2 linked regions of the Caenorhabditis elegans genome follow. The protein of the gene in region 2 purifies or fractionates together with the protein of the main gene of each other region. This does not show direct contact. Each region holds a gene or a part of one and is shown on either strand. Other genes may lie near its edges.

Region 1 (6,991 bases), on a different chromosome or scaffold from region 2:
AAGCCTCGGTAACGAGCAGCTGAAATTACAGTGACACTCTGATTCTAAGAAATTCAGGAAATATAATATTGCGAAAATGCCACAGAAACAGGTGAATTTCTAAGCTGAAAACCAGTGCTTGTCTCAGTTAGTCACTGCAGCTCACCGAGCATCGGAGATGTTTGCTTCAACACTCTGATAATTATAGGTTTATATCTAAGCGAGCTTTTTGGGGAAACGAAAGACACTGAGCCGACTGAATGGAATGTAAAATGAGAAAATGTAGAATGAGGCGGAGCTGCGAGCTGATATGTGTTGGTGGGGAGAATGACTGTTGCCAAGACAATCAAATCTCCAGAGGGGAAATGAATCTATCATAATCAATGAGGAGCCATGTGATAACAATGTATGAAGATAATAATGAAGAAGTAATGTGAATATGGGAAATGACAATAATAAGATAATAGAAGAAAGATATTCGTCGGGTTTCAAACCGATATAAGGCAATAAAATAATTATTTTCAATAAAATTGAAAACTCAACTTCATTTTGGTAGAAAGGGCGATTTTAGGAACAAAAAAAATCAACAACGAAGGTTAACAGGATAAATGAAAAATGAATAAATCAAAGAAAACAAGATATTAACGATCAAAAAAACCAGGAAAGTCCAGCTGAATGCAGTGGCAACGGAGAAATTGATGACACCTGAAAATTAAATTGGTTGAAAAGGTAATGCAATGTTGAGAAAATTGATAAAAATTAATTTTCAACCGTTGATATCAGAAGTTTTGGATGATAGGCTCTTTTTTTTTTCATAGAAGACACAAAATAAACAAAGGTCATCTATAATTTCTGATGAACGAACATTTTTAGAATTCACACGAGGACTATAACAAAACGATCGATTGTAAAGAAAATAGAAAATGCATTTTTTAATCAGTTCAAAGCCAAGATAATTCAATTTAGAAAAAAAAAAATTAATAATCAAACATGCTGCAGACCACTTTATATCATTGAATAGAAATAGAGAAATATGAAAAACGTCTGCTTATCAATATGTGATATGTGACTACAATTTTCGTCGTAGGCATTTTCCGAGAGCTATGAAACTTTCAGTGAAAAATTGTATGAAAGAAGAAGAGGCTGGAGGCAATAGAATTGATGAATCATAGGAAGACAATCAGAAGAAAGCTTATCATCGAACACGCAAACACACGCAGGCACACACACATATGTGAACGCCATCAATTATTAAATTTTAGCCTAAACTTGATTGAAATAGATCAGTTATTTTCTTTAGCATTCTAGGAAAAAGTAATTTAGTTACGGGTATTCGCCTTTCTGACATGAAACGAGCTATACGAATTATTGAACAAATCCGAAGAGGCTTGGTTTTCGAGAATGACACGTCACAATTACTTTAAATTCTCATCAATGTGTAACACACATCAGACTCAAATCTCAAATTAAAATATTCATTCAGACAGACTAGTCAACACCTTTTCGAATTTGTTGTATTTAAAAAGATTCAAAAATAGAGAAACAGTCTGAAATCACAGTTTTATAGTACACTTTATTGCTCTTATGAAATTATGAACAGCTCGTAGACAATACGAGGTCAGCTGAACTAAAATGGAAAGTAGCAGGTGGCTAGGGCTCCAGTCGTTCATGGGGACGGGGGACACGAATAAAAAATAGGATACTCGCTCTCACACACACACACACGGTGGTGCCAGACCTCGCGCACATATTGCCGGGGTCGAAAAGAGAGGAGCGAAATGACCGATGGAGGAAGAATAAGAAGAAGGCTATCCTCTTTTGATGAATATAGCCCCAAAGTGACCGGGCACACAAAAACACATTCAACCGACTAAAAGGGCAAACGAGAGGAATAGGAAAAGGTTAAACATACGTACCATATGATAAGTAAATTCAGGTTTTTCATTGTTTTTATATGTTGATAGGATATTTATGTTGAAAGTTAATATTCACATTGTTTTCGGTTTCATATGCTAATTATTTTCATGTGTAAAAGAGTGAAGCTCATTTGCGCAGTGGAGAGTGAAGAGTATGTCGCGTGATAAATATGACATGGCACGATATCAGAATGAGATGTCTGCATTACATTCAACTCACTTTTTTTAAGCGATAAGCTTAGTCGACTTGATTGTAGATGCACGAATTCCGCTCGTTTCTCCAGAATATTTCTGCATTTCGCGACGAACGTTTCCAATCTGAGACTTGACGCGCTTCTCGATGGCGTGGACCTTGCGACGATTTTTAGTCTGAAATTAGAAATTATTGAACTGGGAGACTTCAAAAAAAAAAACACACAACGCAGCTAATTGGGAGTTGCAGTAAAAATGAGCATAGTATACGTAACCAAGGATGAAACTCTCAAGTGTCGTCGCCTAGACGTTGAATTGTCTATGTCACAGTGAGTCTATTTTATTTCTTTCAAGAAAAATTAAGATTAAACAAAATCGTATTACTTATCTGTCTGAATAAGTCATGGTTATATGCTTCATTTGTGCTCGGTTTTCTTTTTGAGTTAAAATATGCTTCAGATAATTCATTACACTACGCTTTTTAAAAAACTTTTTTTGAATTCAGTAGCAAGCAGGTGTGATACTGAATTAATTATTTTCTTATCACAACTCTCGAAAAAGAATCTTAAAAAAATAGAAACCAAATAAGCAAGTTGAGATTTCGGCAGCCAATTACTCGCTGTGGTGGGGAGCATAGACGCCGTCTCGACGTATTGGATTTTTGGGTTGGAGCAAAAAATAGAGAGTTATGTAGTGTATTCATATTTTGATCTCACATGAAACTCGGCTTTGTGAGACTTTTTTGTCAAACAAGAATTGTTATTTTTCAAATATATTCATGTATTCGTGAAAGCATTGTAACAACATTTTCATGCACAAGAAATGTCGACCCTACTCATCGAATTATTTTTCATACACTAATTGTTTATGATACAAATATTTTTGGTATTAAAAATAAGATAAAAAATCGAAAATAAAGTTACCTTGCTGGTCTTGGCCTTCTTTTTCCCACGTCGTTCTGCGTATTCACGGTTTTTGGCAACTTTGTCAGAGGCCTTTCTTTTTTCATCTGCATCCATTGGTGTGAAGTGTGGATGAATTGATGTGTTATCAGAAGATGTGATTGTTGAAAGATTCTGAAAAAAGTAAATCCAGATCTTAATCCAATTCAGCTATGTTTCCTGATTTTTATTGACAAAAGAATGTACAATTTTTTTAAATTTTACAAACTTTAAAAATCTTTAAAATATACGGCAAACAAAAAATGTATTTAAATTCGAATAATGTTTTCCCTAAACTTACATTGTTCATAATTGCTCCAAAATTCTTCTTTGTAAGTTGAACATCTCCAACCTTCGAAATCAATTCTTCCATATTTTCTGGCTCCGACTCCGCCCATTTCTTGAGCTCATCCAGATGATCCGAATTCGAATGCAAAAAATCTTCACACTCGGTGATTTTCTGAATTTAAAAGTTTGTATTTGAAATTTAAATCAATCGGAATACCTTTTCAAGTCGTTTCAGCGACTCCACTACAGGATGGATGTCAACAAGTGGATCGTCGAGTTTTTCATTGGAAAACTGTTTGGCTCTGAGATTCAACAGGAATGCTGTGTTCATGAGGTATCTGAAAGATAAATCATAAAAATGGAAATTTAGGAAAAGAAAACATACGATGCATATGTCTGGGCAACGTAGACTAACTGCGATCGCAATGCGCATTTTGGAATCTGCTTGATTACATTTTCAAGAGGCTTCACGACGAGATCGAAGATGCGTTTCTGAAAAGTATAAAAAATTAAAATTAAACCGAAAAAAGGGGAAAATTGAACTGTTAGAATGGTGATGAAAAGAAACAAGTGAAAAGGAAGAAGAGAAAGATAACAACAAGAGAAAATGTTATCAGGTGAAAAGGAAACTGGTCACGAGCTCTCCGGAAACAGCTGTATAACAATTCTTAGCCGCTAATTAGAATTGAAAGTAGCAATATATAATTGAAAAACAGAAAAAGCTGGCGGTCGCTGCCGATATATGTCCAACATCGTTTGGTGTGAATTACAAACCGACCAGGTGAACAGAAACGAGGAAAACAAGACAAGTTATGAGAATAATTAGAATGTGATGTTTGAGGATGAGAACATACGAAACTAACTCGAGCAGTTCAGGCATCGAATTCTTCAGACACCAGAAGGGCACTTTGCTTTCGCTTTTTAATGTTCACACATAACGGCGTCTGATGTTGGATGATTTAAATCGTTTCAATTGTGTGTTTTGTCCGTTGAGAATCATCGTTTAAAGCGAATCGTCCAGCATCCTTAGGCTATGATGGCAACCCGTTTTTGACGTAATCAGAGACGATTGCGCGATTTGAGACCGCTTATCTACTAGCCATCGGTGGTGTTTAGTTGAAAGAATGAAGAGAACAGATGAAGTGAAAACGGGAAGATACTGAAAAAGAGAGAACACGAAAAATTAACCTTGGAAACGATACGAATCAGCATTTGATGTTCACAAGTGATAGCTTCAAAATTTAATAAACTTTCGAGAATTGGCATTAGGAAGAAATAGGAAATTATCACAAGAGGAAGAAGCTGCAACTGATACCGGGAAAAAAGTGAAGAGACATTTTAAAAAATTAGAACTTACTCTTGCTTCAAATTGTTCCAGAGTTTTCACGATTTTTTTGTTCTTTGTCCTTGCATTCTCCTCATTGAATTCTAAAACTGTTTCCACCTAAAACTTTTCATTATTTTAATTATTCTTTCAATTCGTTTACCTCGACAGTTTCTTCTTTTTCTTCCTCATCTTCATCGTCGTCGTCAAATAAATCAGCAATGGCAGCTGTCGATTTGTCGATTTGTTTTTGACGAGTCAACGCATCTTCCTCTTCGAGTTGAGCATCTTCCATTTCTTCTTCACGCATTCCGCCCCAATCTTTATCCACGAATCCAGTTCCATAGAAATCTTTCCTCTTTTTACCCCATTTGTTGTCCGTGATATCTTAAATAAATTACGTTAATCAGGTAATTCAGAAAGAAAACTACCATTAACATCGTCATCATCAAAGTCGGATCCATCGTCTTCACTGCTATCCGATGCTTCTGCTTCAACGTTTAACACCTCTTCTGGACGATTGAATGTTTTTCTTTTGTGAATAGCACCCTTTTCGACTTTTCTGTCTTTGTTATGAAAAGTATTGATTTCATCAATGAGATCATCATTTTCGTCTTCGTATGAGATATGAGCAGATCTGAAAATATATTTAATGATTATTTATAAATTGTGAAAAACATTCAACTTACGCTTTCCCCTTCCTTGATGACATAGTTCTAGTATCTGAAATCCAAAAATTAGCAATTTATAGCATTTTCAACAGAGAAACGGATTGCACCGACCGAAAATAAACCAAATTCTGATTTTCAAATCAATGAATAACTCTAATAAAGTTAATTATGCTTTAATCGTGTGATAAACTTCGATAAATTAATTTTTAAATGAATAGAACGAACTTTTACAAGATAAATTATTCAAAAATTGAATTTTCGAGTTGAATTTGAGAAAAGACGGGGGAAAATTATTAGCGGCAGGGCTTTGTGGGCGGGGTTTCTGATTGCAAACTACCCGCGCACTTTATTATTGTTCTATACACCCATTTAATGCTCACCTTTTTTTGTTTTGAATAGAACGAATATCACTTTTTTCTTGAATATGTCGAATTTTATTGACGAATTTGTATTTCTTGGTTATAAAACTTATGAACGATTAGTTCAGTTGATCCCATTATTCTCGGAAAAACCTGACACATTTCGAAAATACTTATTTCGAATACTTACAGAAAACGTTTTTCTGGTTTTAAAAACTAACTCATTTATATGTTTTCTTTTTCAGAATGACTGAATACGACAAGTTTGCCGAGCAGCTCCGTCATCCGGATAACCCAATCGTTTTTCTAGAAGTTACCGCCGGTGGTGCACCAATCGGAACTATTGTTGTAAGTTGACGACCATTCCAGTTTTAATTTGCTATATATTTCATAATTTTTCAGATCGAGTTATTTGCTGATGTAACACCGAGAACTGCTGAAAACTTTCGTCAGTTCTGTACAGGAGAATACAAAAAAGATGGTGTCCCAAACGGATACAAAAACTGCACATTTCATCGTGTGATCAAGGACTTTATGATTCAGGGTGGCGACTTCTGCAACGTAAGTTTAACAATTTTAAATTTTAAAGTTATATCATTTTTTCAGGGCGATGGAACCGGTTTGATGAGCATCTATGGTTCAAAGTTCCGTGACGAGAATTTCGAGCTGAAGCACATAGGACCAGGAATGCTTTCGATGGCTAACGCTGGCTCTGACACAAATGGTTGTCAGTTTTTTATCACTTGCGCAAAAACCGATTTCCTTGACAACAAACATGTAGTTTTTGGTAATTTTTTTTTATTTCAAATTCACGGATAAGTTGATTTCTGTAGTACAAAGAAAGAAGAATACGGATTGTGATTGTGATAAATGTCTCCAACGTCATTAGTTCTCCATCCCAATCCCCTGAAAGCAGTGTTTTAAAAAGAAAATCGCAAATTTTAATGATACCCACTGATAATGTTGGTGATACATTGATGGTGCCATAGTTGTTGTTTTATACTGATTATATGGGTTGAACATGCCAGCGTTAGCATACAATAAAGGAAGTAATGTTTGCAATGAAACGCATTTTAAAAAGAAAAAAATTAGAACGAGAATGCGTGTCATCGTCTAGCTAAAACAACTAGATTTCCTTATATCCTTATCACCTTTTATACGAGATAAAGCTAGTTAATGACGCCATTGATATGTTTGATATTTCTGACCGATCGTTTATTGCAGGACGAGTACTCGATGGAATGCTGACGGTTCGGAAAATCGAAAATGTTCCAACTGGAGCCAATAACAAGCCGAAACTTCCGATTGTTGTTGTTCAATG
Region 2 (7,488 bases):
TTGTGAGAGGAATCGCTTTCGAGAAAATATCTTCTTCGATAATTTCGGCTTTAACTGGATTACTGCTACTTCCGAAAGCTTGAGCATACGTTGCAACACCAGTTGCTGCTGGAGCAGTTGAGCGACGCTGAAGAATTTCCGTTAAAGTTCTGAAGCGTCTTTAAAGTGAAATTGTCATACCTCAATAAACGGCGTCAGTAAATCATTTTGATGAGTTCTCTGCGGAACTTGCGATGCAAAAAGATCAACTACAGGCGCAGCCGGTTCATTTTTGACGGAAGTTTTCAGTATCGATGACCTTTTGGGTTTTCTCTCATGAACACTGACAGTTGAAGGGCGTTTTGTCGAATTACGCGTTCTAAAAGTAAATAAAATTCAATTAATTGAAGCAATGTAACAAACTCACGGAGAAGCTTCTTTGCTGTAGTCGTGGAATATATCCAATTCTGGAGAGTTTGAATTTTCCCTGAATTTACTGGGAAAATATGAAAAAAAGTTCTGCGTTCGGGGGGAATCGAACCCCCGTCGAATGCTTGGAAGGCATCCATGCTGACCATTACACCACGAACGCGGCATGGGAAACCAGCTATTAAATGAAGAGACATTTCTACTTGAAGCCACCAAATAGACCGCATCAGGTTTGTAGAAGAAGCATGACGGGAATCGTTTTCTCGGAAAGATATCCCCGATATGTCGCGTTCGTGGTGTAATGGTCAGCATGGATGCCTTCCAAGCATTCGACGGGGGTTCGATTCCCCCCGAACGCAGATTTTTTCGACTTACCGGTTTTCATCTTTACACATCAAATCATCATCCTCTTCACCAAGTTGTCCCATCTCGTCTGGCATATGAGCTTGCGTCTCCAGGAATTTCTCTACGGCATCAGCTGGAGTTTTTTCTTTGTTAAAAATGTTTTGTGTACAGGCAAACTCTGCTTGAGTTAGAGATGTTGTTCCGACCTAAATGAGAATTTAATTTTCGAGCTTTTCACCATTGACTTACTTTCTGTAAAAGGTCGTTTAGTTCAGACAAAGTATCAAAGCACGTTTTCAGCATATGAGCTTCTGTGATTTTGGATGTGTCTAGTGGGAAAGCACAACTCGGACACATGTGTCGAGCCACTGAAGAGCGTTTTCCAGACGGTTTCTGTTGAAATGTGGCGATACATTCCCTGAACATAAACTGAAGTTATTGACAATTTATTAGGTTGCAATACCTACCAGCAATAAGCATGTTTGCAAGATGATCCGAGATATTGCAAGTCTCCCCTCGGTTTTTTGCTGAAATTTTATTTAAGAGGCAAAATCTTGTACAACAACTTACCATTTAACACACTCGATAGCTGTTCGAAACGTTTCCAATGCTTTTTTAGTGTTTTCAAACATTATTTGACGCTGAAACAATAATTAAATCAAACAGGAAAAGAATAAAATTCGAAAATCGCACTTGTTTGTTTGCGCGTCAGGTGTGGTGCGTGCGCACAGAATACATTTTATTTTACGAACAAAATATTTTACTTCTATTTCTTTTTCTTTCATTAAACTAAAATTACATTTATTTTTTGTGTTTTATAGAAAAATACAGTTTACTTGGTCTGGAAAATTCACGAGAATGATCCTCTCGTCAATTTATTCTCTTTTTAATTATAATTTTAAGTTTTAAGCATGAGACCGCCAAGTGAATTACTCGATATTATTTCAAAGCTTGCTGAGCTCGATCCATTAGTCAGAAAAGGAGCAGTTAGACAGCTTTCAAGCAAACAAGAGGTAGGAAAAAAGTAGCTGAAATAAATGCCTAATTAAAGTGTTATTTTTTTAGGAATTATCCGATAACGAGCTCAACACATATGTGATTGAACGTCTTATTTCTGGATGTGCTTCAGCTCGTGCTGCTGTTCGTTTGGGATATACAACCGCTTTGGGTACTATTTTAATGACAAAAGCAGGCGAATCATGGGAACTCGACAAAATATTGGCCGTTGCAGATAAAAAGATGGACCTGGCAGAAAAGGTTGGGATTGTAAGTTCCTTTATTTGTACTAAATGTTTCGATTCAGACTGTTGGTACCGGACATGCAATTGGACATTATCTTATTCTTGTCACATATTGTCAAACCAGAAAACTCAAAGAAGCAGAAGCTACAAAAATTGTTGAGCATTCGAAGAAAATCAGAGACTTTGCTCCAAGCTTGGCATTTTCACAGATTAACCTTCTATGCAGTTTGGCTACAAAGACAAAAGAAAGTGTTTTCCAAAAGGTAAATCAATTTACTGTTTGAACAAAAACAAATCTATATTAATTTTTAAATTTCAGAGTGTATCCCCAGCCATCGAAATGAATTTGGAAGGTCTCAGCTCTCAGTTCACACCGGAAAATGTCTACCTGGCACTTCGCCTTCGTAATTCTCATTCAACAGTGGTTGCAAAATACGCAAAGTTTGTAAAGAAAGACGGATCTATTCAATTTTCTGATGATCAGTATCCTAAAATTTTGGCTGCTTTAAAGGTTAGTTTTCTATTTTAAAATTTTTATAAATACTTTATTTTCAGCGCTGTGACTTCGCCACAGTTCAAGTATTTCTTCCACTTCTCATCAAAGCATCAGTTGAATCATCTGGTTTTGATAAAATGTACCTGAGTAAGTTATACTTTTGAAAAGTTTTTTTTATAAATTCTCATTTTCAGAAGTTCTCGAGCCATGGGCCCTTTCAAGCAACGAGACGAAAGTTTTCGATAGAATTCTCACGATTGTCACTCAATTCTTTGATTTTGGAGGCGATGTGAAATCAATTGTTGTAGTATTTACTAAAGAAGTTTTGAATCGAATGGAGACCGCTACACGTGGAAAAGGACAATTCAGATTGATGAGTAAAAAGGTAATATTCAAGAGTCTTTATTGTTCAAATTTACAAAAATTAGTGAGATAGAAATTATCTAAAGGTAAACTGGCTTTTGTGATCGAATATGTCTCTGAATTTGTTTGATTGCTTTTCGGAGAAGAGCCTGGCAATCTTCCGGTACTGAAAAAAGATTTTTTAAAACTCAAGCTTTCTTCTAAACATCGAAAACATACATTTCTTGCATTGTTGTGTAAGTTCCTCATTTTCCACACAATATTCGGATGTTATTTCACACTCGATAGAACATAAATCGAGTACAGGAAGCCAGACAGCATCAGAAAATGGATCACCGCCTGTAAAAAAAGTGTTGGAACAATATTTAATTTCTTGTATCTTAAAAATGTATGCTGGTAAATTATGAAGAATTAATTCAGAAATCGTTTACAACATTTCTGAAATATACTATAAGATTATTCTTTTGTGTTATTACATAATACAGATTAAATTTGAATTTAAATTGATTTTCTAACTTACATAATTTAGAGTTATGAAACAAAAACTGTGAAACCGATTCGTACTGAATCCGCCTTTTAGACGCTTGTCCATTGATTGCCGCGATCAGAAAAATTCCGATAATAATTGAGCATTTTGTCATTTTGAGTTCCAAATTTAGTATTGCCAAAGTGATGAAAAACTAATACGTAGTTCAACAAAAAGATGAGAAATAGATGAAAGAAAGAAGAAAAAGAAGAAGCATTGTTCATTGAATACCACAATGAACTGTGTAAAGTAACGGGATTCTGGGTGTAATACAGATAGTTCTTTCTATAAGATGATGACACATTAACGACGACCTCATTATATCCATACATATTGTTTTATTTGGATTACGAGTTAGATTTAGAATGTTAGATTTATGAGAGATTGCAGCGATATTTGAGAGACAGGAATGTTGAAAATTGATTATCATTCGAACTTTTTAACACGAAAATATTGAATAATATTATTAAAAGTATACATTCGAACAAAGATTTTAAACTAAAGAAAATTTCGATACTGGCTTAGCTAGGAAATTAAATTTACTTTTAACAACAAAAAAAAAACACATTTCAAAATAATATCTTCATTTTACAGGTGGATGACTTCGCTGCATTCATCCAATCCAAACTTTCTGAACTTCGTGATGAAGAAGCCTATACTGCTCTGAAAGAGCTCGAAAAGTGCGGAAATGTGGACAAGGCCTGTGGTACCGGCCTTACGACCGCCCTACTTTCAAATCTTGGAAAGAAGCAGATCTCTGTGTGGATTAAGGTAGAAAAAGAACTGACGGTTCAATTTCAGCATATAGATTTTTCAGGAAAATCTCTCCAACCAAGATGAAGTTCGGAAGATCGTCTCTGCATTCAGTAACTGGGATGAAAAATCACGAATCACAGTTCTCTCTGCTCTTTTGTCGCAGAAGGCAACTGAAACCAGTCAATCTGTTGTTACCAGCATTATTGATTCACTTTTCTATGTCAAGGTTTGTTCATTGTTTGTTTGAAGTTGAAGTAAAAAATTATTCCAGACTCGTGCTGGAGAGTTCGCATCGATTCAAATTTCTGAGAAAAACGAAGAGGTTCTCCGTCAACTTGTTGTTGCTGTTCAAGGAGAAGAAGAAGTAAAGAAAGCTGAGAAATCGATTGGAAAATCCAAACTTCGCAAGAAGTGAGAATTTAATATTAATTCATTTTCAAAGTTAATTTTTTTCAGGTCCCTTCAAATTCTATGGTATGTCACCCGCTTGTGGTCTCGAATCGCCGCGAGCTCTGTAGATTCTGCCGCCTACGATTCGGATAGCTCAGAAATCTTGGCAATCGCCAAAAACGAAGCAGATGGAAATAACTCACTGGTCTTTGTCGATCTTCTTCTTTCAATTCTGTCCCGCGAGCAAAAGTTCCATCGTACTCCAACTGCATTCGCTTTTGTTCATGCTATTCCTACATTGGAATCTAAAGATTTGTGTCATATTGTTGAGGTAAATTGGTTTTTGAAAAATCTAAATGTCTGAAAAATTTTATTTTGAAATTTCAGACTGCAATGATGAGTGAGGCTGAATTGGCTGGAAACGATGATGAGGATATGGAAGACGAGGAAGGAATGCCATTTGATGAATCTGAAATTCCATCTGGAAATGGAGACGATGAAGCAAGTGATTCGGATGATGATGATGAGGAAGAGGATGATGATGAAGGAAATGAGGTACATTCATTTTTCGTTTTGTAAATTTTACAATAAATATTTTTAGGCAGTTGATCAAGAACTTCTTGATAAATTGAATGCTGCTCTTGGAGATGCTGCTCCGAGAGATTCTAGCAGTGACGTGGAAATGGATGATTTAGATGATGAAGCAATGCAGAAAATGGATGAGAGACTCGCTGCCGCATTCAAAGCAATTGCTCCAAAAGCTGGAAAAGATAAGAAGCGTAGTGCAAAGAGTGTAGAAGCTCTGAAAATGAAAATTGCCGACCTTTTGCTCATCGCAATTTCATCAAAGGAGCTTGCTGAACAGAGCAAAATTGTAAGATTGGTATATAAGAGTTTCTAAGAATATTACTTAAATTTATTTCAGAAACTTGTCGTTCCACTCTTGAAATGGGCTAAAGTCGACGCAAAAACTCACGACAAGGTTGCTCAAAAAGTGTTAGAACTTGTAAACATTGTTGTGAAGATGAAGGTGAGAGCATATTTCAGTTGTGAAAAAATAGTTCTTAACAAATAATTTCAGTTTACTGATGTTTCCGAGAAAGATGCTCTTCAACTTCTGAAACAAGTTCTCGATGAGGCGCAGACAACTACAAATATTCTGATTATTGATACAGTAGCACGATGTGTCACTTTTGTGCTCAAGATTAGTTCTCGCGATGGAAAATCGATGTCAGCTGGTGTCAAAACAGAATTCCAATCACTTTTTGAAAATTATCTGAAGAATGTGGAAGGAAAGGTTCCATCGAATTTTGTCATTCAGCCAATCGCCGATCTTCCATTGCTGTTTGTTGATCAACTTGGAATGCTCATTGATGCCGGATTTGATGAGGAGAATCGAATTTTCAAAAGAGTACGTATTAAAAACACATTTTTATTTAATTTCTGTAAAATTTAGACTGAAATTCTCGGAGCCATTGCGATGATTTTCACGAAGCAAGTGCTCCAGGAGACGAATATCAAGGGTGCGATTATCAAGAAAATTGGAAAATTGGCCGCTGCTTACTTCCAGAAAGTTGTTGATTCTGATAAATCGGAGGTATGGCTTTCAAATATTAAAAAAAATTACCTGAATCACGGTACCCGAGCTAAATACTTTTCGCTTCTTTCGTTTTTTTTTTTGGCGAAAAATTAATTTTTCACTTTTTATTGAAAAAATAGCAAAAAACATCAACAAAAAATTGTTGAACGGTCAAAAAAAACTTTTTACGTAAAACTTTAAACGTTTTTTTTTTAAATTATAAACATGTTTCCAAAAAATTAACATCGAAATTTTAAGTATATTGCTTTATGGTTAAAACAATTAAAATTTCATTCGTTGTCGAAAAAAACCAACTTTTTGCTTTCTTCATTTTTCGGTTTCGAAAAAAATGTGTATTTTTTGGACTTTGACAATGCCAAAAGGAAAAACCAAACAAAGTATATAACTTTTGTAAATTTTCATCTTTTTCAGCTCAAACCACGCCTATTCGGAACTGTCCTTCAACTCATTCTCAAGGTCACAGTTTGCATTCAAAACGACGAGAAACACGTGGATGCACTCCGCGAATCTCTCGAATATGTCATTCAGAAGATGTTTGAAGGTGAAGTTTTCATTCAACTGAAAAAGATCAACCCGACCTGCCATCACGTAAGTTTTCAAATTGAACAGGCAGAATTTAAGTGCAATATTTCAGATCATCGGAAAGTCTATCGCTGGTGCATTCACCTCTATCAAGAAGAGCTTGGATATTGAAAATTAATATTTTTAGACAAAAAAATGCTCCCTCCACATTGTTATCTCATTTGTTGTTGTTGTTTTTTAATTGTTTTAATCAATTCCCTCTGTTCCCCTTGAAATGTTCTTCCAATTGTTGAATTTTAATGTTTTTTATTCAATTGAAATTGTTTTTTTTGAAGATTTAGTTCTTCCCAAATGACACAGCGAAGAAAACCTAAATGTTTCGAGGACTTTTGAAAATCCGTTTTTTCCTCCGATCAGTTTCCTCAATGATCAGCACACTGCGTCGCCACGATCTACACAGTCTCTAACTTTTGTTCTTTCTGCAAAAGTTACACTGATAAGAAACTCGTTGATGAAAGATAGTCTGTGTCTCATGCTCTCTCTTCAATGAGACGATTTTCGAAAGACACTTTCTCTGCGTCTCTTCGTCTTATATGATTTCTAGAAGCTAAATGTCTATCAAAGTCGTATCAGTTGTTTTCGGTCACTTTTTGAAAGTTTTTGAGAGACAGATCAAACGACGCAGAAGTTCTCTCAAAAGTTGGTGAAATAACGTGGAAGAATGAGAGAGTGGGAAAAGAAACAGGAATCATTGAACATTTCCGAGAAGATTACGGTAGAAGCTTCCGAACAAAGTTTGAATAAAGATGAATCTTTTTGATTGTCTTTTTTTAGCCATTAA

What was found. Proteins that work in one complex are often made in the same cells at the same time.
Region 1: the proteins of K04C2.2 (region 2) and T01B7.5 fractionate together in Caenorhabditis elegans (co-fractionation; one large-scale study listed by BioGRID). This does not show direct contact.

Annotation. Positions count from the first base shown.
Region 1 is NC_003280.10:8,715,206-8,722,196, reverse strand, and holds T01B7.5 (Sas10 C-terminal domain-containing protein), read right to left. Parts: upstream 5,364-6,991; 5' UTR 5,353-5,363; coding exon 5,330-5,352; intron 5,278-5,329; coding exon 5,072-5,277; intron 5,028-5,071; coding exon 4,804-5,027; exon of another isoform or gene 4,761-4,803; coding exon 4,674-4,760; intron 3,809-4,673; coding exon 3,702-3,808; intron 3,655-3,701; coding exon 3,534-3,654; intron 3,489-3,533; coding exon 3,330-3,488; intron 3,164-3,329; coding exon 3,011-3,163; intron 2,265-3,010; coding exon 2,121-2,264; 3' UTR 2,116-2,120; intron 685-2,115; 3' UTR 512-684; downstream 1-511. Other genes in the region: T01B7.13 (uncharacterized protein), read right to left, coding at 6,480-6,576, 6,626-6,780; cyn-11 (Peptidyl-prolyl cis-trans isomerase 11), read left to right, coding at 5,917-6,018, 6,073-6,231, 6,277-6,457, 6,895-6,991.
Region 2 is NC_003281.10:6,888,111-6,895,598, forward strand, and holds K04C2.2 (DNA polymerase V), read left to right. Parts: upstream 1-1,663; 5' UTR 1,664-1,664; coding exon 1,665-1,766; intron 1,767-1,818; coding exon 1,819-2,010; intron 2,011-2,056; coding exon 2,057-2,257; intron 2,258-2,313; coding exon 2,314-2,505; intron 2,506-2,549; coding exon 2,550-2,637; intron 2,638-2,684; coding exon 2,685-2,875; intron 2,876-2,880; exon of another isoform or gene 2,881-2,933; coding exon of another isoform or gene 2,934-3,019; intron 3,020-3,072; coding exon of another isoform or gene 3,073-3,192; intron 3,193-3,373; coding exon of another isoform or gene 3,374-3,494; exon of another isoform or gene 3,495-3,550; intron 3,551-3,973; coding exon 3,974-4,150; intron 4,151-4,196; coding exon 4,197-4,361; intron 4,362-4,406; coding exon 4,407-4,546; intron 4,547-4,591; coding exon 4,592-4,856; intron 4,857-4,912; coding exon 4,913-5,080; intron 5,081-5,126; coding exon 5,127-5,399; intron 5,400-5,450; coding exon 5,451-5,555; intron 5,556-5,606; coding exon 5,607-5,936; intron 5,937-5,981; coding exon 5,982-6,122; intron 6,123-6,536; and 5 more. Other genes in the region: brd-1 (BRCA1-associated RING domain protein 1), read right to left, coding at 1-127, 181-358, 407-466, 784-959, 1,003-1,171, 1,221-1,280, 1,324-1,385; K04C2.5 (INSulin related), read right to left, coding at 2,934-3,019, 3,073-3,192, 3,374-3,494.